Diceros bicornis minor: one gene and its partners. The protein of the gene in region 1 purifies or fractionates together with the protein of each later gene. This does not show direct contact. Links are inferred from orthologs where the notes say so. Each region holds a gene or a part of one and is shown in the gene's direction. Other genes may lie near its edges.

What was found.
Region 2: the proteins of USP15 (region 1) and RNF40 purify together in Homo sapiens (affinity purification with mass spectrometry; 4 studies listed by BioGRID and IntAct, with this or other methods). This does not show direct contact. The link is inferred for Diceros bicornis minor from reciprocal best matches to the Homo sapiens genes USP15 and RNF40.
Region 3: the proteins of USP15 (region 1) and GLUL purify together in Homo sapiens (affinity purification with mass spectrometry; 3 studies listed by BioGRID, with this or other methods). This does not show direct contact. The link is inferred for Diceros bicornis minor from reciprocal best matches to the Homo sapiens genes USP15 and GLUL.
Region 4: the proteins of USP15 (region 1) and SMAD2 purify together in Homo sapiens (affinity purification with western blotting; 4 studies listed by BioGRID). This does not show direct contact. The link is inferred for Diceros bicornis minor from reciprocal best matches to the Homo sapiens genes USP15 and SMAD2.

The regions. Positions count from the first base shown.
Region 1 is NC_080756.1:7,670,014-7,677,610, reverse strand, and holds the start of USP15 (ubiquitin carboxyl-terminal hydrolase 15), read left to right. Parts: upstream 1-4,588; 5' UTR 4,589-4,685; coding exon 4,686-4,774; intron 4,775-7,597. UniProt on the Homo sapiens protein: Hydrolase that removes conjugated ubiquitin from target proteins and regulates various pathways such as the TGF-beta receptor signaling, NF-kappa-B and RNF41/NRDP1-PRKN pathways.
Region 2 is NC_080765.1:21,217,821-21,224,844, reverse strand, and holds the start of RNF40 (E3 ubiquitin-protein ligase BRE1B), read left to right. Parts: upstream 1-4,009; 5' UTR 4,010-4,473; intron 4,474-4,581; 5' UTR 4,582-4,653; coding exon 4,654-4,785; intron 4,786-4,819; exon of another isoform or gene 4,820-5,055; intron 5,056-5,204; coding exon 5,205-5,372; intron 5,373-5,507; coding exon 5,508-5,640; intron 5,641-6,130; coding exon 6,131-6,337; intron 6,338-6,896; coding exon 6,897-7,018; intron 7,019-7,024. Other genes in the region: CFAP119 (cilia- and flagella-associated protein 119), read right to left, coding at 284-462, 1,071-1,154, 1,228-1,779, 2,363-2,532, 2,704-2,769, 3,350-3,381, 3,707-3,910.
Region 3 is NC_080743.1:84,977,283-84,984,528, forward strand, and holds the start of GLUL (glutamine synthetase), read left to right. Parts: upstream 1-4,232; 5' UTR 4,233-4,301; coding exon 4,302-4,729; intron 4,730-6,307; coding exon 6,308-6,486; intron 6,487-7,246. UniProt on the Homo sapiens protein: Glutamine synthetase that catalyzes the ATP-dependent conversion of glutamate and ammonia to glutamine.
Region 4 is NC_080755.1:40,633,161-40,640,965, reverse strand, and holds the start of SMAD2 (mothers against decapentaplegic homolog 2), read left to right. Parts: upstream 1-4,804; 5' UTR 4,805-4,887; intron 4,888-5,205; exon of another isoform or gene 5,206-5,289; intron 5,290-7,805. UniProt on the Homo sapiens protein: Receptor-regulated SMAD (R-SMAD) that is an intracellular signal transducer and transcriptional modulator activated by TGF-beta (transforming growth factor) and activin type 1 receptor kinases.

The DNA.
Region 1 (7,597 bases):
GCAACTTTATATTACTTGATTATTGATTGAACTTTGATTATTAATCAAAATATAAAGTAGCAATTCAGATTAATCAACTCAAATTAATCAATTTGAAGACTTCATGCCCATGTTAAAATGAAACTTTCCAGGTCCTTTAGGGTAGGAGATGTAATTTTGTTCAAATATTTTAATCTAAATAACTTTAGTTGGGTCAGACAGTTCCTCGGAGTCCCCACAACTCCTTGCTATCTTAGAACGGATTTGCTTCACCCACTTACGTAGCTCTATCTAACCCTTGCAAGCCTTTGAGTTTCAGCCCTGGAAGAATCTAATCACTTCATTTTATAACGAGAAAACTAATGCCCACAGGGATTAAATAACTTGGCCAAGGTTACCCAGGTAGTTAGTGGCACCAAGCCAGAAGCAAAATCGAAGTATACTGGCCCTTTGTACAAGACATTGTATTCATTTCACTACTTTTTCTTTCTGTTTATCAGGACCTAACATTTGTCTGAAATAAAGAGCCTCTGTGTGTGTGTGTGTGTGTGTGTGTGTGTGTGTGTGTGTGTATATATATATATTTTAGTTTTAAAAACGGCATCGTGGCACTTACAATTTTTATTCATATCGCAAGTTTCAAAATCTCATTAATGGATTAAGCACTTTACTACATGCTGTTTTGGCATTTGCACTACGCCCCCGCTTCCACTGCCTTTTAGCTGTTCAGAGAGCTAGTCAAGGGAGGAGGGAGTTATAAAATTACGAAAGAGAAAAGAATGAAGGGCTTAGAGAGGTGAACAGGAATGGGAGGTGCGGTGAGGGGGTAATCAGAGGGAACAACTAGAGGAAGAACAGGGAAGAAGGATAAAGGGAAACAGTGGTTCCTGAAGACCAAAGATAGGAAGAGTTGAGAAATAAAGACAGCTAGGTCATCAATCATTGTTCTTTTAGGGAATGTGTTGATTCTGGCAGATTTTTCCCTAGATTTGTGTAGCCAGCGCCATACAAAACTGTCAAGTAGGCAAAGGTTGTCTTGGAATTCTCCTTTGTACTTTCTTCCATTCAACTCTATTAAAAAACACAGTGTTCTTTCTTCTTTCTGTGGTCCATCCCAGGTTGAAAACTGCCTCTCATTTGACTCCTCAGTTGTAAGCCTGACTCTCTCCTGGAGTGTTTATATTTGAAGTCCTATCTTTTAGTTGTGGAGTACAAGAACCTCTCTGAAAAAGATCACTTACGTATCAGCGAGCTGAGAGGGGAATTATTTGAAAGATGAAGGGATCTTTCCCAGAGTATCTCTAATTTCAGAACCTACTCCGCCTTTATGTAAGGTGCACTTTGTTCATATCCAGCCTAATTTCTAAAGCATCCAGCACACTCCTTTTCCTTTCTCAAAGCCCTAAGTCAAGTTTTTAATGGACAAGAAGGGTACAGAAAGTCTGAGAAGGTAATGACAATCACCAAACAAATAGTACATCTTTATAAAGTTAACTAAGCAATCAATGAAGCATCAATGAAGACATTACCACACAAAATTGGGGTTCTCTTGCCTGATATGCATTAAAAAAACAATTAATTATGGCATCAGCTTTTGGGGGAGAAATCAGCTTTATTCTGCGAGATTGATCTGCAAGGAGAAGGGGGCATGTGCCCTCAGATCTGTCTCCTGGACTCAGGATTTGGGGCAAAATTTAAGTGGTTACGGAAACAGATTGGCATGCGGAAATGCTGGTGGGACAGATTTTGATTGGTGGGCTTCAACCATTTATGGTAAGGTTCTAAACATTTATGACAGCATTCTAAACTTTTATGATGAGTTTCTCAACTTATATGATAGGGTGGGGAAGGAATTTTAACACCGGATCTTCCTGAATGAGGGACTCCTCACTTCTGATAAGAGTCTGACTTTTAAGTTCCAGTCGTGTTCTGATCCTTTGGTTCCATGCGGAGGAGGATCCTTGGTTCCATTGTCATTTCAGGTCAAGAATTCTTCTTCTGCGCATACTCTGGCTACACGACTTTGCAGATTTTCTGAAAGACAATCCTTAATCACTTTGTTGATAAGAGATGGGGTCTGCTCCAACTGGCTCTAAGTGTGCCTGTGGTTACAAAGATGCTCAATAAAAATAAGCAGATATAACCCCAGGTTTATATTCAATTATCTGGGTAATTTAAGGGAAAGTAACATTTCTCATCAATTATCTACTTAGTGATTCAGTAGCGATGCGGACCTTAATTTAGTATTTATGAACAACACCTTATCTCTCTTCATAATTGAGGGTAGAAGAAGCATTAGTAAAACAAGCAGATTTCCATAAATTAGTAAACTGAGGTCACTAGAAAGTTGATTGCTAGAATCAAAATCATAAAGGTCAGTGGAAAAATAGAAACTTACCCAAACCTTCTAGATTCTGGAGCTAGACTGCTCATTTTCAAATTTGGGTTCTGCCCTTGGCCTCAACTCCCCATCTACAGAATGGAAATTATAACATCGACTTTACAGGGTTGCTATGAGGATCAAGTTAATTTAACACTTTAAAGTGTTTAGAACTGGGCTTGGCACTCTTTAAGTGCATGTTAAATAAAATACTGTAACTATCAGTTCTTTTCTGACTCCGAATACATCTAGTTAGGTCAACAAAATGACCTCACAAATCTGACATATAATTCAAGTTGACATTGAATTTACACATCTATATCCAGTTAACTCCTTGCCTTGAACATGGTGCAAATGAAGAAAAGTTATTTTAATTTGTTGCACGGATACAGGCTTCAACATTTCAAAAATGCATTTTCTTTGAAAGGAAACTGAACAGCAGAGTGTGCTTGAGGCATCGCTTCTTGATAATGTTATGTGTATAAATGATAGAAAGCATGGTTTTGCCTTCAAAGTCCATAGTGCTCTTTTTCAACAGCTTTATTGAGATACAATTTACATATGATACAACTCATCCTGTCAATAGCAATGCTAGTGTTTATTAATTGGCTATTATGTCCCAGGCAATAAACACGTTGTTTCATTTAATCTTCATAAAAATCCTGTAAGGATTTTTACTGTCCTCAATTTTATGATTAAACTAAAAGTTAAGAACTTTGCAGCTAGAGGTTGAGATGAGGTTTGAACACACGTTCATATGACTCCAATATTCTTCCCATACTATGCTGCCTCTCTTTGGAAAATTAGTTTGCTCTCTTTCAGAGGTTGGGTGGGAAAGGGGGGAAATGTGATGGTATTCATGGTAAGAGAAACTCTAATTTCTTAACCTGTCAGAAGTCAAATAGTATAAGAAATAGCAGTAACTAGAAACTGTTTTCAGATTCTCAAATCAAGGATGACATAATACAAAATAGTATTATTTTGAAGAAAATAAGCAACTATAACGCTGATGCATACAAATCATAATGCCAACAAACACTACTGTAACTTGGAAGGGTTCAGGACTTCGTACTAGCATAATTACACCCATCATTCCCACCAAATGAGCTGAGGCAGACATTAAAATGGGGAAACAAGAGAGATCATCCAGGAATTCTTAACCATCTTTTAGACTTCCCACATCATCTATGTTATCTTAATAGAGTCAAATCTCTGAACATCCTCATGTTGCCAAAACTCATTTATTAAACAAACAAACATTTAGGTGGTTCTTACATGTTAGGCAGCACTGTGCTAGCCACCGGCTGTACAGAGGTTAAAAAAAAATGGATCCAGTGCAGCCCGGTTTACATTTTAGTTCCGATTTTCGCAGGGAGAGGTAGTGAGTGTGCTGTAGCGAACAGATAGCACGTGGGCTTCGGAACCTGGGGTATAAACTTGCCTCTCCACTTACGGTATGACCTTGGCATTTGATTTTTGAGAGACTCGATTTCCCCATTTGTAACGTAATTGGCTTCAAATAGCTGGTGTTATTATCTAGTTTCAGGCGCACACACCACGGGGAGTTGCGGCCAAGAATACGTCGCTTTATGACATCGAGGAGAAAGGGTTTCTCGCGCGTTTTCTTCCCCTTCGGTACTCCGCATCATTCGATACCTATCTGACACCCTGTCCGCCGAGGAAGTGGGACGTGTTTTCACCGCGGCTGGCGGTCTGGGTGTGCCTGGGGAGGCGGCACAATGACCTGTGGCAGGTCCCCGCACAGCAGGAGCAGGAGCGCTGGAAGGAGCCCAGGAAGGGCACTGCGGCCAGGCGTTCGGTTTCGGATCGTTCTTTGTTTGGGCCAAGATTCAGCGAGCTCGCACGAAAAGCCCAGAGTCACGGAGCTGTCGAAATGTTCTGCCATGTCCTAGCGTCCCCACGCCCCCGCCCCACCCACCGTGAGCGTGAGTGAATGCGCAAATAAGGGCGTTCGGGCGTCTGTGGGAAAGAGGGAGGGGAGGCAGAAGTCGAGGACGGACGGGGCGGTGGCACCGCTCGAGCGGGAGCGGACCGGGGCCCCACGGCGGAGAGTTAGCGCCGGGCGGGCCGGGCCGAGGAGGCCGAGGCGAGCTGCTGGACGGGCGGGGGCCGGTGGGGGGCAGCAGACCACAGCAGCGCGCTCAGCCCGCCCCGGGGCCGACTCTTGTGCCGAGGCGCACCCCCCACCTTCCGGCTCTTTTGGTTTCGACTGCCGGCTGGGCGGGGCCGCGGGACGCCATTCCCACAATGCTCTGGGGCGTGCCGCCGCCGTCGCCGCCGCCTCCGCTGCCGCTAGTGGAAGAAGATGGCGGAAGGCGGAGCGGCGGATCTGGACATCCAGAGGTCTGACATCGCGGCTCTGCTCAAAACCTCGCTCCGGAAAGGGGACACCTGGTGAGGGAAAGGGGCTGAGGTGGCCGCGATGGCCCGAGGATGGTGGGGAGCAGGGCGGGAACTGCGGGCTGGTGTCTTTCGCTGGTGACAGGTGCGGGCAGGTCCGGCGGCGGCCGCTCTGGGCAGCAGGATTTTGGCCACTCCCGAAATGTGGGGGCAAAGATTGGACTCGAGATGAGGCCCGGGGTTGGTGGCCTGTCGGGGCGTGCTGAGAGGCTTGCGGGGAGCGGCGGCGGCGGCTCCTGCGGTTCTCCCCGTCCTCCTTCCTCCGGAGTGCCGCTCCCACCCCGGGCCTTCCCGGACGATGGGCTTCAGCCGCTCGGCGTGAGTCCCTCAGGGTTTGACAGGTCCCGGTGCCGCGGCGGGTCACGGGCTCACCGGCTTCGCTCCTCCAGTCGTTTCCTTTGCCGGCCTCGTCGGCATCCAGCTTCCCTATTATTCGGATTCTTGTATTCTTCCGGGAGGCAGGCTGCAGGATGTTTGCGGCTCGTACTACACAGGTGGCATGTGTCAGGGCGCCACTTCAGGGAAAGAAATCCTAGTTTCCAGTTCCTTGTCAAAAGGAGGGAGAGGAGTAGGGAACCTCGGGCTGCTGAGCGATACCACGTGGTCTTGTGCTTTAGTGGAGGCTCGAGAGAAACCGGTAGCGTTTCTCCTGCAAGTGCAGTCCTTCCCTCCTGTTTGAGGGATAACGTAGGCCTGCAAAAAGTAGATAAGTCCGCTTGAGGCTTAAGTCTCTTGCCAGTATTCAAACTTGTAGAGTACCAAAGGATATACTTAAAATACTGAAGGAGATATGTGGAGATTTTAATACTTGTCGGCCGTATCAAGTGGTATCCGGAATAACTTCGATGTGTGAATATGTAACATAAAGGGAAGGTGCTCTATTAGGAAAGATAATGTGCCTCTTTGTTATAGTAAAAATTATTTTCCCTTCCCAGTGTCACCGTAACAGGGGTATATAGTTTACAGTATTTTGTCATGTACTCCAGTATGGCTTGGTGGAGAGAGCATAAGACTTAGACCTGAGTCAGGCCACCGTTCCAGCGCTTAACTTGCAGTATGACTTTGAGGAAAGTTAATTTAAATCATTGCACCTCGGTATCTTCATCTATGAAATGGACAATAATAATTTCATTATAGGGGTTTTATCTACATTCGGTGAAATATTCTAAAAGATTTTTCTATTTATCACATTAGATTTTAGTTACCTTCTTATCACCACCCTTTACTTCTAGAAAAATGCCCTGGGATTGGGATAATTTTCAAGTAAGCTAGTAGATGGCAGACTTGGGACTTGAATTGAAGTACTTTGATCTAAGTCTTGGTACTTTTTTCCCCACTTCATTAGGCTGCATACTATGTTTATATGATAAAAATCTCTAAGGGTGTAAGCATATACTTCTTGCATTACAGCAAAAAATATGATTTAATAATCGTTATTGTTCATATTGGAGTGTTCCTAAGATGTTTGTTACTGTGGGGAAATTGGACATTTCCTATGACATTTATGTTTACGACACATGTTTATGTTGGCCTGTGGGTTGTTAAAGAGGAAATCAACTCCTGCTTCCTATTGTTTGTTAAAGAACACTTAAAAATTCCTAATTCACCTACCCTATTAACACCTCATGAAAAGACAAATGTGGATTTCCATAAAATAGAAACCTGTAAGTTTAAATCTGGGTATGATTTATATGGATATTGCTTCTCTCTAATGTTATGTTTTTGGTATACTGAGTAATAATTGGTGTTGTTAACATTACAGGATGATAGGAGCAATTTGTGTATTGTCGGCATTAAACTTTGTAAAGTTTGGTATTTTTCAAATGAAAGTCTTTTCGCTTTTTGACAGAGTTACTGTAAATCATTTTAAAGATCTATTTTAGAGATTAAGTAAATACAGGAAGTCCGTAAATTTGAGTGATTTCAGTGCTTTCATTTTAAAGAAAAGGAAACTGAGGCTCAGATATTTATGTAACAGCAGAATGTGCAAATTTTTACCCTCACGCTGATTTCCCCTCCTATTTAAAGGGAAAAAGAAAGCAGGAATGAGATGGTACTGGTGAGTTGGAGAAACCAGTTTGGTTTATATGTGAGCCACTTGCAATTAGCAGGTGAAACTAGTCGAAAAAGGAAATAGTGTAGAGTAAAAGTTTGATTCACAGTTTTAAGGAAAGTAATTTGGTAACTACAAATTTGACAGTGTCTTCATGTGTACAGAACTGGTAAAAATATTTAATAATTTGGTTGTTGAGCTCATGTTTTTGGAACTCTTTAAAAAGTTATTTCTCTTTTTAACGTCTTTAAAAAAAGTCTCTGGATTAGTCATTTCTGGGTCTTTTGGCAAATCCTATCTGTTATTTTATAGCTGAAATGGGTCATATGCAAATGGAACATTGTCTTGGTATATATATATACACGTATATATAAAACCATCTTGGAAAGACTGATTGGTCTATTTAAAAAACTGGTAGGTTGACCATAAGTTTACTCTTGGAAGTTTAATACTGATGTTTTAATGTTATAGTAAAATGCATTAAAATGAATAAATTTCATTAATTAGTTTGTGAGCACTTTTCAAATAAGGACTGTCTTGTAGTACTCTGGTAACTAACTCTAACATCTAGGCAAGGGTAAAAATTTGATTCTGCATGAATATTAGAGTTTCTGTTTATTTGTAAATAGTGAATGATTTTTAGCTGCAAACTGACTTTCTAGAGATAAAAATAAGTTACAAAGTCTGAGATGAGGAAGAACAAACTTTATGATATGCTTGGTACTAGATTTCATGGTGACAGAAAAGTCAAAACTGAGGCAAGA
Region 2 (7,024 bases), on another chromosome or scaffold:
ACCACTGATCATACTACCATATGGACCAGCCCTGTACCCTGCCCCCGTTGGCCAGGGCTTTGTGGTCAAAGCTAAAGTGGAAAGGAGCCATTCAGAAGGCCACGCCTGGCCTTGTCAGTGCTGCCTGTGCCACGTATGCAATAAAATCTGCTACCTGCCAGGTAGAGCCAGTGCCCTATGTCTGGTGTCTGGCTTCAGCAGGGAAGCCCAGAAGGTGCTCAGGAGGAGTGGGACGGGGATGGAGCTGCTCTGGCCCAGGCCTTTATTGGGGAAACACTGAGGGTCACTTGGTCTTGCTCTTGCCTTTGCCTGCAGGTAGCTGGGAAGGCTGCTCTAGTGCAGTCAACTTGCTGCTGAGCCTGTCCTCACTGGCCTTGAGCCGCTCCTCCACCAGCTGTTGCAGCTGCCCCAGCTCCTTGTTCAGCTGGGTCTTGATATAGGCTTGGAGGATGGAGACCTGGCCTGCAGGGACAGGGAAGAAGGGGCAGGTCAGGAGAGGTGCTGGGGCTAAGGGATTGCCCCTAGCTGGGCAACACAACCTCCAGAGTCCCCTGGGGGCTACACAGGTGGCGATGTTGCTTCAATTCAGGAAATGTCCGCCAGCCCTTCTGTGAGAGAGGGGTGGGCAGAGTGGCTGTGCCAGAATTTCTGGATTGCTACTTAGTAGCTGTGGGACCTTAGGCAGGACTTTAGGCAGATTTAACCTTTCCATGCCTCAGTTTCCTCTTGTGTAAAATGTGGATAATGATAGCACCTAGCACCTAGGATTGAAGGAAGATTAAATGAGTTAGTATATGTAAAATGCTTAAAGCAGGGCCTGGCAACAGCATTGCTAAGTATGTGCTGGCTATTATTGTCATCAGTTTTATAATCATCTTTTTCTGGAACTCCTGCCTCACCCCAGCGACTGTGCTTTTATCTGTTTGTCATCTTGGACTTCTGCATAAGAAATCATTTAGAGAAAGGACACCATGACTAAAACAAAAAGTCTGAAGTCTCAATGTGGTCTAAACCCTTCATTTTACACCTGCCCAAAGTCACAGAGGACCCTAACCCCTTCAGGTCCTCACTTGGCTCTTCCTGGACCACTGTTTCCGGTTCCTCATCCTGTGGGGTGACTGCCTGCTCCTCCACTTCCTCGCCACCTTCTTTCTCTGCAAGCCAGAAGCAGGAAGAGGCTTTGGCCCTGGCCCCAGCCCCAGCCCGGGTCCCAGCATTCTCCCTTACCCATCTCATCCTCTGGCTCGAGCTTGGGTGGCTGTAGCCCCATGTAAGTCAAAGATAGATCCAACCGCACCTGAGAAGAGGAGGAGGGTGGCTGAGAGGAGGGCATCTGCACTGAGGGAAAGGGGGAGATAAGGGGTGGCCTCTTGTAGCCCATGGCCCAGTACCTGGGGTGTGAAGACATATTTGTAGAGCTTGAAGTGGCGAAAGTAGGTGTTGACCACATAATCTGCCAGGGCCAGCAGCTGTTCCTCCTTAAAGAGGTTGATACTGAAGGGGGGCCGCTGTGGGGATGATTAGGAGTTAGACGACTGACCAGCTCCTGAAGCCCTGGCCTTTTCTCCAAGGGCCCCGCAATACAGGAGCGGGGAGAGCCCACTGTGGCCTTCAGAGGAAGATGAGGGTGATGAGTGTGAGAGAGGGCAGGAGATTGGACTAGACCTTGTCTGGGGGAGAGTGAAGTTCCAGTTCCAGGGGAACTGACCCTGACTCCATGGCAGAAAAGAACACTGGTGAAGTAGCGGTAACATTCCTCCACGTTGCCCAGGGGGGTTGCTGGGAGGGGAAGCAAGATGTGACAAATGAGTCCCCTCCGTCATAATCAGTCATTCATTTCACTCAACAGCTACTTATTGAGCATGAGCCTTAGAAGTGGACAGACCTAGGTTTAAGTCCTGGCTTGTTTTGTTAATTCACGCAACAAATATTGAGTACCCACTATGTACTGTTCTAGGCACTGAACAAGACAGACAAGATCCTGCCCTTATGAAGCTTATATTGTAGTGGAAGCGACATATAATAAACCAACAGCACATAATTTCAGCTCTTGTTAAACATTCTGAAGAAAATCAGTTCTGAAAATAAAGGGGGGAGCTATTTTATTGAGCATTGTGAATATGTTTACATATATTACATATTTCTCAGAACAGTCTCATAAATTTAGTGCTATATCCTTGTTTTATAGATAAGGAAATGGAGGATTTCAAAGGAGAAATAACTTGTGTGTGATAATAGTGCTAGAAATGACAGAACAAAGATTCCCAGTGGCATTCCCCCTACTTCTACTTCCCATGGTCACTTGTGCCATCCCAGCCTCCTCTCCCTGAGCTCAAATCCTCCAGTAGCCGCCTCCTCTCACCAACACAGGCCTTGTGAAGATCTTGGAGCAGGGCACAAACGGTTGATGTCTGCTCCAGTGAGAAGCCCTGCTGGCGGCAGAAAATGAGTGCATGAGAGAAGAGGTCCAGGGTGATGGCATCCCGCAGGCTCTGCTCAGGACCGCCTAGCCCCAACAGCTTGGCCAGCACCCTTGAGAGAGAGAGAGGGAGTGAGTGACAACGGGAGCCTCCCTTCAGCACCCCCCTCCCCCCAGTGCACCACATGCTTTGGAGCCAAACATTCCTCATGCCTTCCCAGTCCACCCTGCTCCGCCTTCCCAAGAGCTCTTCTTCCCCTTCCTTCTCCCCCCTCCCCCCATACTCCCTCATCTCCTGAACGTTGGCTGTCTTCTCCAGCCTCTGCATGGAATGGATGTCCAAGTACTTCCTGTCACAGGAAAAGAGGAGAAAAGGTGTTGGTGGCCATTATGCATTAGTCTCATGACAGAGCCTTGGGCTGGGAACCAGGAAACCTGAGTTGAGGTTTGGCCCTTCCACTAACTTGCTGTGTAACCTTAGGCAATTGTGTCACTTCCCTCTCTAGGCCTCACTTTCTCCATCTCTAAATAACGGGTATGGCCTAAATGAACTCTTATGATTCTCTTCGTTTATAAAGCCTAGGGTTAGGAAACTTGAATTCTTATCTCTGCTCTGCCATTCCCTTGCTGTATGACTTTGGGCAAGTACCCCCCTGTGGGCCTCAGTGTCCCCATTTGTACAATGCTCCATAGTGGCTATGATATTCCACTTACATCCTCAGTCTTTGGCTCCCTTCTTCCCACACTCTCTTTGGAGTGGGAAGGCAGGAGAGCTGGCTTCTAGTCCCTTGGCTAATTGCATCTCTGGGCCTTGGTCTCCTTATCTGTAAAATGGGGATGTCCTGGCTGTTTGATAGGACTGTTGGGGAAGCACTAAAGGAATAATGCAAGTGTGAAGTGTAACTTTCTCCCGAGGTTCTTCACACTCACCACATGCAGATCCGGGGCTGGGGCAGCGGCGGCTGCGGAAAGAAAGCGGATTGGGGAAGGCAGAGCTATGTTGTCCCTGGCCCCTAGTTCCTGGCCCATCGCGAATATCCAGCGGGCCTGAGAACGAGCTAACTTCTCATTTAAGGACTATGTACAAGCAACGCTGGCGGGCTGGGCTTCAGCAGGACCTACATATTATTCATGAGCGTATTAACAATCGGGCTCACACACCCCTGACTCTTCACTAAGGCAGCCCGGAAAATGTCTCGAACGTTAGTAAACATAACGACGGGTGACGCCCTGTTGGGGAGCCTTTTTATAAACATTCATGAGAGGACCAGTCTGTCCCGCCCTCACCGGGAACAAGTTGGCTGCAGGATCATCATCTGCTTCCACCGAGGCCGCGGTCCCCGACTCGATCCGCACATCTGTTCCCATCCGCGTAGCCGATTCATCCACTGAGCTGAGGTTTTTGTCGGGTTCCCGCCGCTGTTCGGAGGGCTCTTCAAGCTCCGACTGCATTCTGAGTCCTAGGAATTGGCTGGACTTCTGGCGGATCATCTCGTCGCTCCTCCCGCGGTCCCGCCTCCGTTCCGGGACAGCCGGTTCTCGGGCAGCGACTGCCAAGGCCTGGCCCTTTAACGACGCTTCAGCCAATCTATGCTGCAGAGACGCCAGGGGCAGCCAATGCGCGAGGGGCGTCTCCCTCGGTCTCAACGGTGACCGTTGCTAAGGAGTCTCGTGGAGGAAGGGTGAAAGTGTAAAGCGCTTGCCAATCAGTGAAAAGAGAGTGCGCATGCGTAGTAAGTTGCAAGCCCCGTCCCGCTGCCCTTTCTTCAAAGTGGCTAACAGGAGGCAGGCGATGTCATCAGGGCTAGGGAGTGAAAGTGTAGTATCAGTTACCATGGGAACCCTTTACTGGCCAATCACCGAGCGAAAGAGGAAGTGTTCAGGAAGACACCAGACCGGACCCGAGAGGCGGGACAAAGCGCGACCAATAGAAACAGGAAATGAAGGAGGTTCGCCACATCCGGCACTGCCTCTGGCGCCTGCGCTCTCTGCTGGGGAGGCCGGTGACGTCCGGTGAAGTCCAAGATGGCGGGGCTCGGTTGATCTTGTTGCCGGTGAGGGGCCCGGGGCCGGCGGGGCGGGACCCAGCGTTTGTGTGCGGGGGAGGCTCGGGGTTGCGGAGCACCGGCTGCTTCCACATCTGTGCGCTCTGTCTTCTGCAGGTGACAGACGTGCCGCCTCCGCCTGCCTGACGTCCCTCGGGAGACGCTGCGCCGCTCCTCGCCGCCGCGGCCATGTCTGGGCCCGGCAACAAACGCGCCGCCGGCGACGGGGGCTCGGGGCCCCCAGAGAAGAAGCTCAGCCGTGAGGAGAAGACCACAACCACACTTATAGAGCCCATTCGTCTTGGGGGCATCTCTTCCACGGTTCGTGGGCTCCTGCCCCAGCCCTCACAACTTGCCAGACTCCAATCTCTGTTCTTCTCCCAAATCTTCCGGAACCTTACTCCCAGTCCCCCAAGCTTAGCAAGAGCCCCTTTACAGAACACTCTGTTGAGGGAAACCGAGGACATGACGTCTGCCTTCCCTTTACAGATAGGAAAACAGGTGCCCAGTGCGCGTGTGACTTGTCAGAGACTTCAGAGTTAGAAAGAGGCAGGAGAACATGACCCGCCTCACAACCAAGACGCTTTCTCTGTGGGTACCTGAGCCTCTTTAAATCCTGCTAGCAGTCTGGGGAGCAGTCTCCCTTTCCCATCCATTCCATTTGTTTTCCTCTGTCTCTCTCTGGTTGGTTTCTTGGGCCCTGCTTGATCCTGTCCTTGGCTTCTTTGTTTCCTTGGTAGGAGGAGATGGACCTGAAGGTGCTGCAGTTCAAGAACAAGAAACTAGCAGAGCGGTTGGAACAGCGACAGGCTTGTGAAGATGAACTCCGAGAACGAATTGAGAAGCTGGAGAAGCGGCAGGCCACAGATGATGCCACACTCCTCATTGTCAACCGCTACTGGGCCCAGGTGGATGCCCCTCTGCTTGCCACGACCTGGCCTTAATCCAGCTGCCAATCCTCAGACTCCTCTGCTGGGAAAGGAGTATCATGCTGGGGAAGCACCTGAGGGATTCATAACATTTTTGGTGCTTTCTCCCTTCAGCTGGATGAAACTGTGGAAGCTCTTCTCAGACACCATGAGAGCCAGGGGGAGCTGTCTTCAGGGACAGAGGCGCCTGGGACCCAGGAAGGGCCAACACGTGATGAGACCCCTCTTACAGAGCCAGGGACGTCGGGTAGGGCCAGAGCCGTAGGATCTGGGGAGCTTAATTAAATTCTGGGAAAGGTCCTGGAGAGGAGGGGACTTTGATATTAGGCTCCTGAATTCCCTGGCCCCGTTCTAGATGGAGGAGACAGAAATAAGCAAAAAGAAATACTGTTTTTGCCACCAGGGAGGAAGTGATTTTGAACCATATGTTAAAAGTATAGGGCTCCTTGAATGGGAATTAGGGTGTGTGTACACGTGTGTGGTTCTCATTTAGATTGGAGAGGCAGAGAAGACTTCCCTGAGGAAGTGATTTGGGAGCTCTGTGGGCTTGAGGAGATTACTTTACCTCCCTGAACCTCAGTTGTTTCACTTTCAAGATGGGGATAACGGTGTACTACAGGCATTGGTTGTGTTGATTCAGTGAGCCATAGAGTGTTGAAGGGCTTGGTCTGGAACTTGGTGCAGAGTGGTGGTAACTGCTGCCTTTATCCTCATGAGAGTGTGTCCTTCCTTCCCAGAGACCCTGCCAATGCAGCTGCGGCCCCCACTCAGCGAGCCAGCCTTGGCTTTTGTGGTGGCGCTGGGTGCCAGCAGTAGTGAGGAGGTGGAGCTGCAGCTGCAGGGCCGTATGGAGTTCTCCAAAGCAGCCGTGTCCCGTGTTGTAGAGGCCTCAGACCGCTTACAGCGCCGAGTGGAGGAACTGTGTCAACGAGTATACAGCCGAGGTTAGTTCTTTGTGCCCTCACCCTAGAGATGTCCATCGCAATTTGCATCTTCACAGTATCCCCTCCTCAATGCCTCTAGCCCAAAGGCAGCCAGAATTCCCCAAGGATTAGATCAGCCATGTTCTCAGCGGAAGAGTTAGGTTGTAGATGGGGGCTCCAGCTGTGAATCCTGGAGTTGAGCTCTAGAGATATGGGTGGGAGGAGCTGATGCTGGTGGGGCCACCCCCTTCTGGCTGGAGACCTCTTTGGAGCACTGTACACAGATCTTGGTGGCAGTTGCTGATCCACAAGGCATAGCAGCAAGTGCCCAGGCTTTGCAGTCAGATATCTTCTCCCAGCCTTAGTTTTGTCACTCTAGCCTGGGCAATCTGGGCAAATGGCTCTCCTCTCTGAGCTGGTTTCCTCCTTTGTACAGTGGGGATAAAGACTCCTGGCTTTGTCATGAGAAATTGGCAAGACAGCTGGTGGATCACACTGGGCACATAGCAGACTCCAGAATGAGTTAGTACTTTGCCCCATTGCCCTGGACTTGGCTCTTAACCGAGCCCTGACTTCTCAGGGGACAGTGAGCCCCCCAGTGAGGCGGCTCGGGCACGCACACGGGAGCTGGGCCGTGAGAACCGGCGGCTACAGGACTTGGCCACCCAGCTACAGGAGAAGCACCATCGCATCTCGTTGGAGGTGGGA
Region 3 (7,246 bases), on another chromosome or scaffold:
TCTGGGTTGGGTTTCCAGGGTGTTCCTCAAGCCTGGGTCTCAGCTGTGTCTCTTTAGCCCGGGTTAAGGGTTTTGTTGAATGCCTGTTGAAATTATTTAAATATAGGGAAAACTCCATTTCCCAAACTGCACGTTACGGTTGAAGGTTTAGGTGTGTTTGAGCCCCACCCCAAATCTTGTCTCTAATGAGTGTAAGGCAAACACACAGACCTGAGAAGACACTCTCAGATCACTAGGTTAAGGGCTTACAACCTGCAGAGTGAGAACGGTCTCTTAAAAGCAGGAGAAATGGGGGCCGGCCCGGTGGCGCAAGCGGTTAAGTGCGCGCGCTCCGCTGCGGCGGCCCGGGGTTCGCTGGTTCGGATCCCGGGCGCGCACCGACGCACTGCTTGGTAAGCCATGCTGTGGCGGCGTCCCATATAAAGTGGAGGAAGATAGGCACAGATGTTAGCCCAGGGCCGTCTTCCTCAGCAAAAAAAAAAAAAAAAAGAGGAGGATTGGCAGATGTTAGCTCAGGGCTGATCTCCTCACAAAAAAAAAAAAAAAAAAAAAAAAAGCAGGAGAAATGGAGAGAAGAATTCACAGGTAAAGCCCACCCAAGACAAGGCCTTTATTTCAGGAAACAGAACAATGTTGAAGAAATGCTTTTAGTCCCCGGGCATTTCTGCAGATTTGGAACAAAATATGTACCTGTAATATTGCCCCCGCACTCCACCCACCCCTTGGACATAGCTACTCTATCTAAGAGAGAAAAACCTGACTTCAAAGCACATGTAATAGAGTCCCCTGGGAGCTTTGACACCGGGTATACCAAGAGACAGAAGAGTTCATGGGTTCAAGCATTCTAATGCTCTTCTCATGGAGGGGGTGGAGAATGGGGGTGGATGGCAATTTAGGGAAGAAGAAAGAGAATAAAGGGCAGCAGACACAGCCAAGTCAAACTGGATGAAACAGGCCGTTCCACTTTAACTTCTCTAAAAGCACAGTCTGGGTTTTTGGGGGCGAAACTCTTAGTCAAAGGACTTTCTTCTGCTTTTTCTTCCCTCATACTCTTTTAAGCTTCCCTGATCAGTCCTTGGACCTATTTGGGCCCTAATTCAGTTGGTTTAAGTAAGTATGGGGCTGCCTGAGGAGGACAAGGCCTCTTGTTCCCTCCTGAAAGACTCAGTGGTCACATATTACTTTCCTAACTCTCACTGAGTGTGCACCCGGTCACGTGAATGGATCAAAGCAAATCTGCTCCCATTCTTGGAAAAGCAGCTCAAAGCACATGTTCTCTTGATGGCGCCGCTGTCATTTCTGTGTGGTCAACAAACATCACTTATTGAACACTCACCCTGGACACCACTGGGAGATACAAAGATGAATAAGCTGCTCGGGGAGGTTCGTATACCTAGCAAGGGAAGCAGGTACTCACAAGGGAAAATATGATGCCATAAGCTTAAAAAACCGCATTCGCTGCTTCCTAGTCCATTTGCTAGTATGTTTGCCATCCCCACCTCAAGTGCTGGTGGTGATGAGCGCAGTAGAAGGCTCGGGTTTATGCTTAGGCAGTTTGGCATCTGGAAATTAACATGTTTTTAAAACCAGAGCATCACCTTTCCCTTCCTCCATTCCCTCTTCTCAACTACTGAAACTCAAGATTTTATAGAAAGAAATGGAATGAAGACAGCTCACTCTGTCACCAGGTCCAAGCCCACTCTCATAAAACTAACTGTGGAACATCACACTGAGTTAGAAAGTTGTACTTAAGGGTTGTTATGGGGAAAGACAATCCAATCTCTTCTGTTTATTTTGGCCTATAATAATGATATTACTGTTTTCTAAATACTTACTAGTCCTAGCTACTATCCTAATCTCCTTTGCATATGCTATCCCAATCACTCCCTACAATATACAAGGTAGCTATTTTGGAGGCAAGGAAACTGAGGCTTCATGTGGCTAAGTCACTAAGCCAATATAAAGCTAGTAAGAGGTGAAGCCCGAATCTGAACCTTGGTTTGTCTGAACTGAAGCCCAGCCTTTAAGCATCACCTCATAATGCTTCAACATGCAGCATGGAAACTTAACACGGTGTCCCTTACACCTGCAAGGTGCCTTACCCAGTCCAGATTGTCACCCGTCTGAAACATACCAAAAGTCCCAGTGTTTGCAATGAATGCTGCATCTGTCATTTTAAAGCACTATGGTGTTAGATACACTCTTAAAGGGAAGGGATGTTGACCAAAGAAGCCAAGTTATGTGTGTGTGGTCACAGGCAACATTTCTTTTCCATATTTGTGGTACAAAAAATAACCAGAAGAACAAACTTCTTCCCTTCCTCTTCCAAAGGCACTGGCAGCATGACTTCTTGGTCTTCAAACAGAAAAATCTCAAATACTGGGACTCCTGAAAGATGCAATTAAGGCTAGACACCATCAGGTGGATTTCAGGCAATAAAAATAGAATAATGAACTAACAGCACCAGTAGCAATGAAAATATTGTATGTGTGTATATAATTAATTATTGCATTAATGCACATACAATTGTGCATCTGTTGACAAGCATCCATTTCAAGATTGTGTTCACATACACATTTTCTCAACCATCACAGCAAGGCTGAAAGTAAGAACGGGTACTGATTCTCATTTTTCAGATTAAAAAGAAGGCGCAATAAATAACTTGAAAAGCAGTATAAACACAGCACGTTGATTACAAATGTGGGATGGCAAACTTCTGTTCACTTCCCCAAAGCCACTGAGCGCCGGGAGGGGGCTCTTCCAGGCCGACCTTCGGCAGCCTCTCTCTGCGCCGCCCTGTCCGCAGGCCCGCGCCATTGCCCAGGCAGCCCAGGGCTTCCCGGGCCCAGCGCCCCGCGCTCCCGCTCAAACTTGACGAGCGCCGGGGAGGGGGGGCCAGAGGTTCTCTAACAACAAAAGGCAAAATTCTGTTCCCGGGGGTCATTTTTCTCGGAGCTCTGGGCTCTGCAGTATGACCTCGTAAAAGCGAGGGTCTCCTGCAAAACCGACCAACCTGAAGGCGACAGGGGCGGAGGCCAGGGGCGGTTTCCTGGGCGCCTCTAGACCCGGGGACAGACGGGGGCTACCGGGAGGGCCCCGGGCCGGCGGTCGGCCCGCGGCGGGGAGCGGCATCCGGGGCAGGCGGGGTGCTTCTCGGCAGGAACCCGGCCCTCCGCACGCAGCCAGCCGGCCTTCCTCCGCTCCCCTCCCCCGCGCGCCCCTCCCCCACGGCCCTTTCCCTTTCTTTCTTTCTTTCCCGGCCCGCTCGCCCCCACCCCGGCGGCGCCCGCACGGCTGCTCCGCCAATGGCCGCGGTGCCCGGGCGCGCATCAGCTGATCCGCCCGCTCCCGGCCGCTGGGAGCCAATCAGGGCGCCGGGGGCGGCCCCGGCCGCCGATAAAGGGTGCCGGGCCGCGGGCCTCCCTGCAGAGCCGAGGATGGGAGAAGAGTGGAGCGTTTGAGTAGCACACGCGGCCTCCTTTCCTCTCCGCTCCGTACCTCGCTCTCGCGGCCTGCCCGCCCTGTCTCCTGCTCGCCGTCCAGGTAGGCGCCCGGCCGGCCCGGGGGGCTTCCAAGTGGCGCGCGCCGCCCTCGCCGCCTCCGATCGCGGCTCGGCTCGGCTCGGCCCATTCCCGCCTCCGGCCCCTCCTCTGCGCCTCGGCCTGCGGGCCCGCCCGCGTGCTGCTGCCGCCTGGAACTCGCGGCGGCTCTGGGTTGGCGATTGTGGGCGCGCCCGTCGCCAGGCTTTGAGGAGGGCGGGGAGTTGTTTTGATCTTGCTTTCGCTGCTTGCGGCCCAAAGCGCCATCGCTGGAGGTCACTCGGCGGGGCGAGCTGGGGAGCCACTGGCCGGGCCCTGCGCCCCCGGCTCGGCCGTGTTGTGTGCGTTGTGGTTGGAGTGGCCGGGTGGCCCCCCGCGGGAGCCTGATTCTTCCATGGTGGCGGGCCTTGGGGATCGTCGTGGTCTTGACCACCCTTTAGATGCCTACGTTGAGGCGAATGACCGTGAGCGTGGTTAGTGCGGCCAGCCTCTGCGCGGGGTCCCGGGGACCCTCCACTGTGACTGAACAATGCGGAGTCCGGGCCGCGGCGCGGCGGGTGGAGAGGCCTGGCCGGGCAGAGGCAACCGCGGCGCGCTCTCCCTCCCGCCGACGCCCCCACTCCCCCCCCTCACCCCCCCCCCCAGCCTCGGCCCTCGGAGGGCTATGGCCCCCTGGGCGAGGCCCTGAGATCCCGACGGCGGCCGGAGGGGCGGGGCGCGCCGACTTGCGGGACATTTCAGTGGGAAAAGGCTGCTCTCAAAATGGATTATTCCGGTTGCCCCGGGGGCGGGAAGCGGGGATCCTCCCCCAGCCGCAAGTCCGCGAAGAAGACAACGAGCGAAGATGAAGACGACCTGGAGTCCCAGTCCTCCGAGTCCCCCTCCAACTGCTTCGGCTTCGTCGCCTACTCAGTGAACTCCGGAGAGACATCGCGAGTCAAGCTTAAGACCTTGACGCACCAGCCTGCGTATTCCTGCGCGTCCCGCTGGGATCCCGATCGCTCTCCGACTCCCTCCCCGTCTCCCTGTCCGTCGCCGTCTCCCTGTCCGTCTCCGACTCCCTCGCCCAGAAAGCTCCGGTGCGTGGACCATCAAGAGCCGGAGAAGGAGGAGAGGCGCGAACGCAGCTCCAAAAGGAGACGGGCTAAAGAGGGCAACCCCAACGATACGGTTGACCTTCTGTGGCTGGGGTGAGTGAGGAGGCAGGGAGAACGACTCCGGACCCGGCGGCAGCTGCAAAAACAGCTAAAAACTGCAGAATCGCGTTTTTCTCCCCACCACGTAAACTTGGCACCGCGGCGCCACCGGTGGATAGAGTAGACTAGGCTGTTGTCATCCGACTCATCTCGCAGAAAAGAGCAGGAGATCCGAACCGAGGCTTATGGGAGGAAGTGTGGCTTGATGGAGGTGTAACAGATTGGGGAGGAAAGCTGGAGGGTGGGTTGTAGCTTTGAGTGGGAGCTGAAGGGATGAGGATTGTTCCTTCTGGTAAAGACAGGGTTGGGGGTGGGATTTGACCGACCAACAGGTATTGGTTCTCCTCTAACACGACCTGACAGACGAAGTTCTCCCGTTCCCCCAGGGGAAGGGTGAGGCTGTTTGAGGGAGAAGCAGTTGCTTTCAGCTGGGCAAACATGGACGGTTGCCCATAGAAACTTTGCCACTGTACTTCAGAAAGTTGCCCAAGTCATTGGAGGAGAACAATGTGTTCCCTCTCCAGTCTCCCTGGGCCACTGAGGGGGAGGGGGAGAGAGAACGTTTCCTCCTGTTGAGGCTGGTTTTGTGGCTTCAGAGTTTCAGAGGTTTTGTGGTGGTGGCTTTCAGTTTTTAGCATGCCTCAGCTTTTGAAATCTCAGATCTTTTTGATTTAGAAAAGGGAATTTCCGAATTACTTGAAAAGTGCCCTAGTGGAATCTCAGAATGCCCTTGTCAAACTTAAAATACCTTCTGAAGCGACAACTTCACCTCAGACTGATGGAAATTATGGCAGTGTGCATCTTAGAATCCAACTTGAATTAGCTTTTTTTTTACATCTTCGTGATAAGACACCCCTTAGGCTACAAGGAAAAGGGAAGGCTCACCCAGAAACCATAGCAGCCAAGCCTTTCTGTGGCTGGATTTTACCTGTATTGGGAGACGATATCTGTTCTGTAAGCTTTGTTTCTGAACTTTTGTATTTTATTTTTTTGTTTTTTTTTTTTTTTTTGTGAGGAGATCAGCCCTGAGCTAACATCCGCCAATCCTCCTCTTTTTTTTGCTGAGGAAGACGGCCCTGGGCTAACATCGGTGCCCATCTTCCTCCACTTTATATGGGACGCCGCCACAGCATGGCTTACCAAGCAGTACTTCGGTGCGCGCCCGGGATCCGAACCAGCGAACCCCGGGCCGCCGCAGCGGAGCGCGCGCACTTAACCGCTTGCGCCACCAGGCCGGCCCCAATTTTTTTTTTTTTGTTTTTTGAAGTGTTTTTCCCCCTAGTATCTTAGTATAAAAAGTAAAACAATTCCCTTACCTCATCTACACTGAGAAAATAGAGCTTAGTTCCCACCAGTGTAGATTGTAGCTTGAGGAAGCTTATAAAGGAGATTTTTATCTAATGTGCAACGTTAATCCCCCTGAAAGCAGAGTAAGTAAATATAGGTTTGAGTGTGGGACTTCCAAAGGGAGGGGCCGCCACTCCCGCTGTGACTTCTTGATTCAATTGTCCTTATGGTATCCTTCCTGCAGAGGATCAGTTTGAAGTCAGTGTTCATTTTTTTTCTCTCCAGAACATCTTCCACCATGGCCACCTCAGCGAGTTCCCACTTGAACAAAGGCATCAAGCAGGTGTACATGTCCCTGCCTCAGGGTGAGAAGGTCCAAGCTATGTATATCTGGATCGACGGTACTGGAGAAGGGCTGCGCTGCAAGACCCGGACCTTGGACAGTGAGCCCAAGTGTGTAGAAGGTGAGAGACTGGGGGGAGTGGGAGTCACGATGGGTGGGGCAGCGTGGAGGTGGGCAGCAGCCCAAGGCCAAGTCACTAGATTTGGCCTCTTCATTATTCTTGTTTGTAAAGCTTTTCTAAGGCAGGGCTTTTGCAGACTTTATTCAGTTAGCATTAAGCTCCTACACTGCCTCAAAGGATAGCAACAATGCACCCCTTTATTTAAGTGGGATCTTGCATGTAAGCCAGTATATTGAAGATAAAAGGTTAAAAATCTGTTTTGGGGGGCGAGAGAGCTAAAGACTTGGCTGACTTTGGCATCCCTACTTGATTGGCTCTAAGGCACGCTGAGGAGCCCAGTTTGAAAACCACTGCTCTAACCTGAGTATGCCATCTACTTTACAAACCCTTTGAATACTGTTTCGTACTCATATCACCCAGGTTCTAGATGCAAAGCAAACGCCCTAAGGTGGTTTCTAAATAGGACCAGTCATTCATTTGTTTTTAGTTGATGCCACTTTTGGAAATTCTAAACCGTCTGCCACTTTTGGAAATTCTAAACCGTCTGATTGCTTATCCCACTAGGAGTTATAAGAGCTCGTTTTTCCGTCTACAACAAGCCATAGCCCTCCTGGAAAGGGACCAGAGGAGAAAAACTATGACCTCTTACTTACTCTAAGGATGGCTCACTCTGGTGATAATGTTCACATTTGAATGAATGAATGCATGACTATATTATAAAGCATATATTGTAGCCTGCTATGTGGCAGGTATTAGACAG
Region 4 (7,805 bases), on another chromosome or scaffold:
AAAGGTAGACACTACGCATAATCTCCGGCACTAAGTGGGCATAGGACTTGGGAGAAGCCTGGGCCTGTTTCCTTAGCTGCAAAATAAGAGCATTGATCAAGCTCCACGACTGTATGAAGGCAAAGAGGAGCCAATGTGAAACTTCTACATAGCTATATAATTTATCCCTTGAAATCCACCAGTGAAGTCTTTAGGACCCAATAGTAATTGGCTCTCTCCCACCATTAATTACATTCTGGCCACTCATTAGCTAACGTGATTGTCAGACTCCTTCAGCAAAATGTCTTTTTCATAGCTGAGGACTGTTTACAGCAAGGACAAACAATTGGGGCTCATTAATTCAATCATTAGGATACTGATTATGCATCTATTGTCTACTCTAGTCAGTTATGTTAAATAAGCTCTTCAGTCTTCATCAGAGCAATTATGCTAATATGCTTGAAATTTTCCAAGAGTATTATACCTTCATACACTTATCTTGCCTAGCAGCACTCTGGTTCAGTCGATATTGTCACACACAGACAATAATCATCAAGGCATAAGGCCCTATTGTTGATATATGACTACCAAATTGTCCCCCCTTACAAGAGAACTGTAAACAATTTGTACATTGTTCTCTCACGGTTTAGACATTGGCCCGTTTAGTTTTTTTTGCAAAATATGTAGATGTCAGATAATATTTAAATACCTTTATGGGAGTGCTCATTGCACTGAAATTGTATTGTAATTTTCCAAGTAATATTTGAATAATCATTGGATTAGCTATCTAATGATCAACTGACTCACTGATTATTTATGCCTTTAAATACATGGACAAGAAATATAATATTAAGTATCAGACGCCTGGAGAATGGTGCGAAATGTAACTTGTTTTCACCAAATATTTTTCTCTCAACCAGAGCCAACTTCTCTTTCAATCTCTTTCTCTCTATAAATCTAAAAAACCTTACTTGTATGTCTTGTTTTCTTGAGGATTTTGGCCATAAAATAAGAATTTTCCAGCATGATCAACCAATGCTTTTATGATAGGCACAAAACAGATACCTGATAAACACTTGCTGAATTTAATTTTTTTCTTGTATCTACTTTATTCTTGTCTCCAGCTTTTCCCATCAGATGTTAAATATTTTTTTAATTTTAATAAAAACCAGCATGTGAATAAGGACTGTGTGTGTGTGTGTGTGTAGAGGCAGGTGTATACATCTTCAACATAAGTTCATTTAAAACATGAAATTCCATTGTAGCGAGATAAAAACCCAGCTGGTGTCGGAGTTCTTCATTATCATTTACGACAAAAGTAACCCCATACATTTGCTCTTTACAATTTTTACTTTGGTTATCTCATTTAATCAGTGTCCTTTCAATTGCAAATAACTGGACCTTTAAGATGTAGTAATGCTCACTACAACTTAGTTCCACCAGGATAAGCAAATATAGAGACTGGATGTTGACATGATACTCTACAGTTGTATTAAGGACGGAGCAAAGCTGGAAAGAATGCTTGCAGACCTATGACACACATTTTCCACTACACAAATGTTGAATTTCACCTTTCTTCAATTACTTAGTATTTATCTTAGGGTGTGCAAAGACGACTGACAACAAGATGCTGTCCTTGCCCTTCAGGAATTTACAATCTAAACGAGGAGACAAAACATACACACAAGTAAAGTTAAAAAAAAAAACCCCTCAAGACTAAACTAACAGATCAAGACACTAATCAAAGTGAAGTCATGGTATGTAAATTATTCCAACCATTAGAGAGCATTCATAGGATAGTGATATCCTTTCGGCTGGGGTAACCAGGAAAGGCTTTTCAGATTTATCAGAGAGGAGATGGAGTATGAGTTCTATCTTTTGAAAAATCAATACATGGATATATATATATATGTTTTTTTAATTCAAACTACAGAAAATTAATGATGAAATTTAAGTTTTCCACTCATGACTCCAAGGTTCTTTTTCTAGAAGCAACCACCATTATCATTTTTCTCAGGTGTCATTCCATTACATTTCACTACTTTTAAATGGATTCTGAATTGGTTTTGATTTAATTGATTTTGCAGTGTCATGCGTGATGCAGGGTTAAACTCGGTGTCTATCCACATAAAAATAAGACTCACTCAACATAATTCATACAGTAGGGACCTAATGATAGGTCTTGAGGTACCTTAGTGGATTTCCAAGTTGGTTGTTGCCACGGCAATCCTGCTACATCCACTGCCAGTTTCTGTCTTGACCCACTTTGGTTCAGATGCATTTCTAGCAGAGCGCACCGTAGACAGGCTCTGGTTCCTAAGCCCTTAGCACATTGCATTGGTAGCCAGATGCTGCTCCTCTCCTTCCTCAATCCTACAGATCCTGGAAGGCTTCCTAAATGGAAGGGTTAGGGACCCAAAGTTTGACACTTTGGAGACATGGTCTAACTTAGAATTAAGCATATTATCCACTGTATTAACGTATCCCTCAAAGTACCTAACTCCCACACTAGGAGCAGATTCTCCTGGAATTCTGGCTAGCCCTGCTTTTGTTTCTTCTCCTACTCACCCACATGGACACCCAAACGCACACCCTGGTCACATAGGAGAAAATATTTGTGTGACCCAGGGTAGCTTTTTATAGGCCATTTCATACTAAAACTGTTGACTTGTGTTAGCAGGAAGGACCAAAAACTCCAAAACAGTCTTTCTACTTCTAAATCAAACAGCCTTTGCCTTAGACCATCCTCCTGGGTGGCTCTGGGAAGTGGACACAGAAGTCTTGGGAGGTGTAACAGCTCCACCAATTGGCTTCCGGGGCCTCCTTCATGAGCTATTTTTAAAAAGCAGTGAGTAGAGCTGCCTCTAAACTGACAATGAAGAACTACCCCCGAGGTAAACTTCTGAAGGAAAAATTTCTGCTGAGTAGGTTCATCTTAGCATAAATGCATGCAGGCAACACAAGGGAAGAAACCATAACGATTATGGATTTTCTTTTAACTTCAAAGACTCGTGCTATTCACTTTCATATTTCTTATTTTACTTAATCATCCCACAACTATATTTAAATAGCTATCAGTGCAGGTGAGTTCTACTTGCCAATGACCACAGATGCGGAACAGAGCTGCATTCAAAACTACAATTTGCCTAACTCCAGGGTTCATGTGCTTCATCACAATCTTTTGATGAGAAAAGTACTTCCATGTTTGAGGAAAGAGATGGTGGAAATGAAGGAGATTTTGAAAGGAAATCTGGAAAACCTGTAAGACTCAGAGGATCGCTAAATCCGTCTCTCTCCAGGTCCATCTGAAGGCATCGTTCCCCGGGAGGCGTTCATTTCTGAAAAGAAAGAGGACACTTCAACAACTCTTACTGTTTGAAATGGTCACTTGGTACTTCCTGCTTAGTGATTTGTATTGCTAGTGCCGCCTTCCCGCTTGTTCGTCTTGAGTCCCCAATTAAATCCATGAAGAAAGGAGGTACACGAGAAGGAGTGCTGACAGGGAGGCAAGAAAACCGTGTTCTAGTCTTGCCTCTGCCACCAACACCTCTGTGAGACCTAAGTTTCTTTCCAACTTTAGTTCTATAGTGCTCCCTGCCTAACATAGTAGGTGCTTAATAAATACTTGATGTGATTAGTTGGGTTCAATATTTCAGCGAAGGCTTGGGTGTCCGTAAGGTACAAGCGACAAGGTTACCCGAGTGCGGTTACGCCCCCACCAGCTTCAGGCAGCCAGCAGCTTAGGGCCTTGTAGCGCAGACGTGGGAAGTTGGGGCTTAAGAACTTCGTCTGAACAGTGGAGAAATGAAGGAGAAAATAACCCAGCATTCACGGGGCATCGTGCTAGGCGCTTATCTTTCAGACTTCGCAAGGACCATCAGAGCATGCATGATTAACACCATTAGACAGAACCAAAATTCCGGTTAAACAAAAATACCTGGCATCCCCTACCCTGGCCCTAATACCCATAAAAGCCCCGCCCTGGGCTTAGTTACTTCTCGGACCTCGCCCCCATTAACCACCACCACGGCCCCGCCCACTCATTCGCATACGGGCGCGCCAAGTGTGGGTCGGGGACCCCGGCTTCTGCGGAGCCGCCTTCTGCCCTGACTCGTCCCGTCCTCCGGGCGGCCCCCGGGCCTCCCCAGGGGATGAGCACGTATCCACGCCCGGCTTGATTACGGAAGGTGGACCAGGCGGCGGCCCCCAACAGGCCGCACCCAATGGCGCTGGCGAGACACCGAGGAGGGGGCCCGGGGCCGAGGCAATGAGGGACGGGTGGTCGCCAGCGCCGCAGATTACGTGCCTTCCCCTCCCTTCCCTTCCCGAGCCTCTCGTGCAGCGCGCCGGAGACGAAGTCAACCGAAACCGCAGCCGTCCCACCCCGCCTCGTCCTCGGCCGCCGGGCCGCCCGCCTGCCCGCGCCTCGCCTCACGCTCTACGGGGGAGGCGGGACCAATCAGCGAGCGACGTCTCCCTTCCGATTCGAGGCCCCTGACGCGCGGCTCACACCCCGAGCACCCCGCGCGCTGATTGGTTGCCCGCGCCGCCAGTCCGGCGGGAGGGCGGGCCGGGCCGAAGGGAAAGGAGGTGGGGAGGTAGTAGCCCGCGACTCTCCGAGTCCCGCTCGCGCCCCGGCCCTTCCCGGGCGCTCGACCTCCTTTTTCCCTCCTCCGCTCGCCCCGTCTTCCGTGAGCGCAGAGCGCTGCGCTCGGCCGGCGTGCCTCGCGCCCTAACGGGCGGCCGGGGGCGCCAATCAGCGGGCGGCAGGGTGCCAGCCCCGGAGCTGCGCCGGCGAATCGGCGGGGCTCGCGGCCCGGGGTGGGAGGCGGGTCTACCGCGCGGCCGCGGCGGCGGAGGAGCAGCTCCCAGCCAGCAGCCAGCGAGCGCGGAGCGAGCCGCCCGGAGGTGGGTGCGCCGCGCCGCTGTGGCCGGCGGCGGAGGGCGCAGGGCGGAAGCGGAGGTGGGCCGGCGGACGCGGCGGCGGAGCTTCGGCTGTCCGGGCGGCCCAGGAGGTGGGGGGTGCGGGCGCGCGCCCGAGGGGAGGAGGGGCGGCGGCGGCGGGACGCGCGTCCCCACCCCCTCCTCCCCGCGGGCGGCGGCCGGGCCCGCGCCCCCTCCCCGCGCGCCGGGGCCGCGGGCCGGGCACTGGCTGGGGGGCGGGGCGGGAGGCCGGGCGACCGCGAGAGTGTTTTCAGTTCCGCCTCCCATCGCCCATTCCCCTTTCCCCTCATCCTATTCGGAAGAGGAAGGAACAAAAGGTCCCGGACCCCCGGCTCTGACGGGGCGGGACCCGGAGCCTCGGTGCAGGTACAGCCGGGCGCCCGGCGGGCCCCGGGGCCGGGGGTGTGTTTGTGTTGGGCTCGAGTCGTGAGGCTCGCCGCGTCACATGGCCACGGGCTGGGGGCTGGGGTGTGGCGAGGTCGGGGCAGCGCGAGCCCGGCCCTTGGGTGCGGAGCGCGGGGCCGGCCGGTCGGCCGGCGGGAAGGGGTCGGCGCCCGGAGCTGCCCGCCCGCCGGGCCCGGGGCCGGCTGTGGCCCTTCCCTTCCGCCGCCAACACACTTGGTAGTTGGTCCTGATGTTCAAAGCCGGAGGGACAGAGCTGTTGTTGCAGGAGTTGTTGGGGAGCCGTGTTACGAGCGTGTGTTGCTTTGCTTCCACTTTTTAATTTTTTTCTGGTCCTGTAACCTTTGTGAACCATTGTAGTCTCGGGGTTCCGAATTGCTTGTGTGTGCTCTCACACAAACACGCACACTGGTGCTGGTACTCTGTCGAGATTCTTCTCTGCTCACTTGTGAAAGTTGCTCTGTGAGTGGAGCCTGTTAGTTTTTGTCACACGCCTTTAGAAAGCACGCTAATTGATTTCACGTATTTCAAACTTCGGTTTCAAATTTGCAACTTTAATTGTTCTCTCCTGGGGGATACTGTCCTTGGGTTGGGTATTTTTGTGTTTTATTGACTTAACCCTTATGTGGTTGTGGTTTCCTTTTGATCCTAAACAAAAGAAAAACAATACCTAGGTTGGTTTTGGTATTCCTTCCTCTTGACCCTTTAAAAGCTAAATACTACCGGTTTCTTGTCAACTAAACCTTTATTTAAAAAAATCTCCATGTAAAACGAATTTGGAAGTAGTATTTTCTATCAGCGATGTCTTATTTGTTACAGTTTGGAGTATCCTAAATTTTGGTGTTTTAAACTTTTAAAACGGCACATGTAAAGTAATTGTTAATGAATAAATAAATGATCACGCAGACTTAGAGTAATTCCATCTTTCTAAAAGTGGTCCCTGAAATTTGAATTAATTTCTAGAATTCTGAGTGATTCTGTAATCTTAGTTCCTTTTCATTTTCTCGCTTCTGTTTTCATATGAATTGAGCCTGTACCACAGATTGTAAGGATGTTTTTCTTAAGCCTAAAAAGATGATAAATTTGCTGTCAGTACTCTGAAAATACATTTGCTGTCATTCTGGTTTTGACCTCCTTTTAAAAAAAGATTTCCTTACATGAAAGTGTAAATCAAATAGTTAAATGAAGTTTGAGGAGTTTTAACGTGACCAGATAAATAAGTGAAGCAAATAGAACAGAGATGGGAAAAATAATGTAGATTTCATAAATGTATTGTAGTTTGAGAATTTTTTCATTTGCTTAAAAAAACCCATATGGGATATTGATAGAATTTTCTCCACCAAAAGGTCGTTTAGCAAACATTTATATTAAATTCAGAAAGTAACGCTAATTTCGTTTTTAAAGTTCCTTAGTTTTTGCCGTAAAATTAGTTGTGGTAGTAAATAAGAATAGTTCAAGTGTGTGGGCATGTGTAAGGTAAGTGCCCCGTTATACTCTTAATGTTAAAATTAAATGAGTTTAAAGTAGTTCATTGGCCAATTTTAATTAATGTAATGTGACTGGGAACATCCGTTTCTGGGCTTGTTTTAGTAGGAAATTGCTCTTAAAGCTTGGTTTTTATACTTTGTAGCTATGCTTTCTAAAGTGATTTCAGGTTATAGGTGTTAAACAAAAGTTTGGTTTTTCAAGGTTGTAACTTACCTGTACCTAGTAATAAGTGTTCAAATCTCTACACAATCTGTAAGGTTCATGAAATAATAGTGTTGTAAGAAACTGCAGGGCAATTTCCTGTTGTTTGTGGCTTGTCAGGCTTGGTATGTGTTTTAACTCTTAAGAAAGAATTTGGGGATGGTTTTGTATATTTCAGCAGAAATTCTCTTTAATAGGAACAAAGGTTGTTTCTACTTGAAGGTGGCAAAAGGTCCCCTTTTCATTTTTGTATTATAAATATTGGAATCGTGTTGCTATAATCTTGTTGCTTCACAATGGGAAAAATATGTGAGTGAAAAACACTCTAGCTGCATAATCTGCTGATCAAAGACCTATTGAATTTTACCTTTTGCAAATATTTTCAGTTTTGGCTTTATAAAGATCTGAAAGCCCTGCTTATTCTTGTTTGGTTTTGATTCTGTTGGTTTTGTACTTTAGGGTTCCAAAGGCCTCGTTTTGTAGCAGCTTTTTTATACAGGTGTTTTTGTAATGCATATAAAAGCTGTATTTAGTGCAGTCTGGCAGATGGTGGTTTATTCATATTCTTGGGACAAGAGTCATTTTTAGAGGCTGGAGAGGGGCATGTCTTTTGGATTCCTTGTCTTTTGATGGGAGTAGAGGAGCCATTTTTAAGCTCTTAGTTTCTGTAAGAGGAAAGATGTTTTCCACTGAGTATTGCCAAGGTATGTCAGAAAATGTGAAATAGAAAGATTTCAAAACCAATTCAGGAGAGGTTATGCATTTATTCAACAAATAACTTGCATTTATTG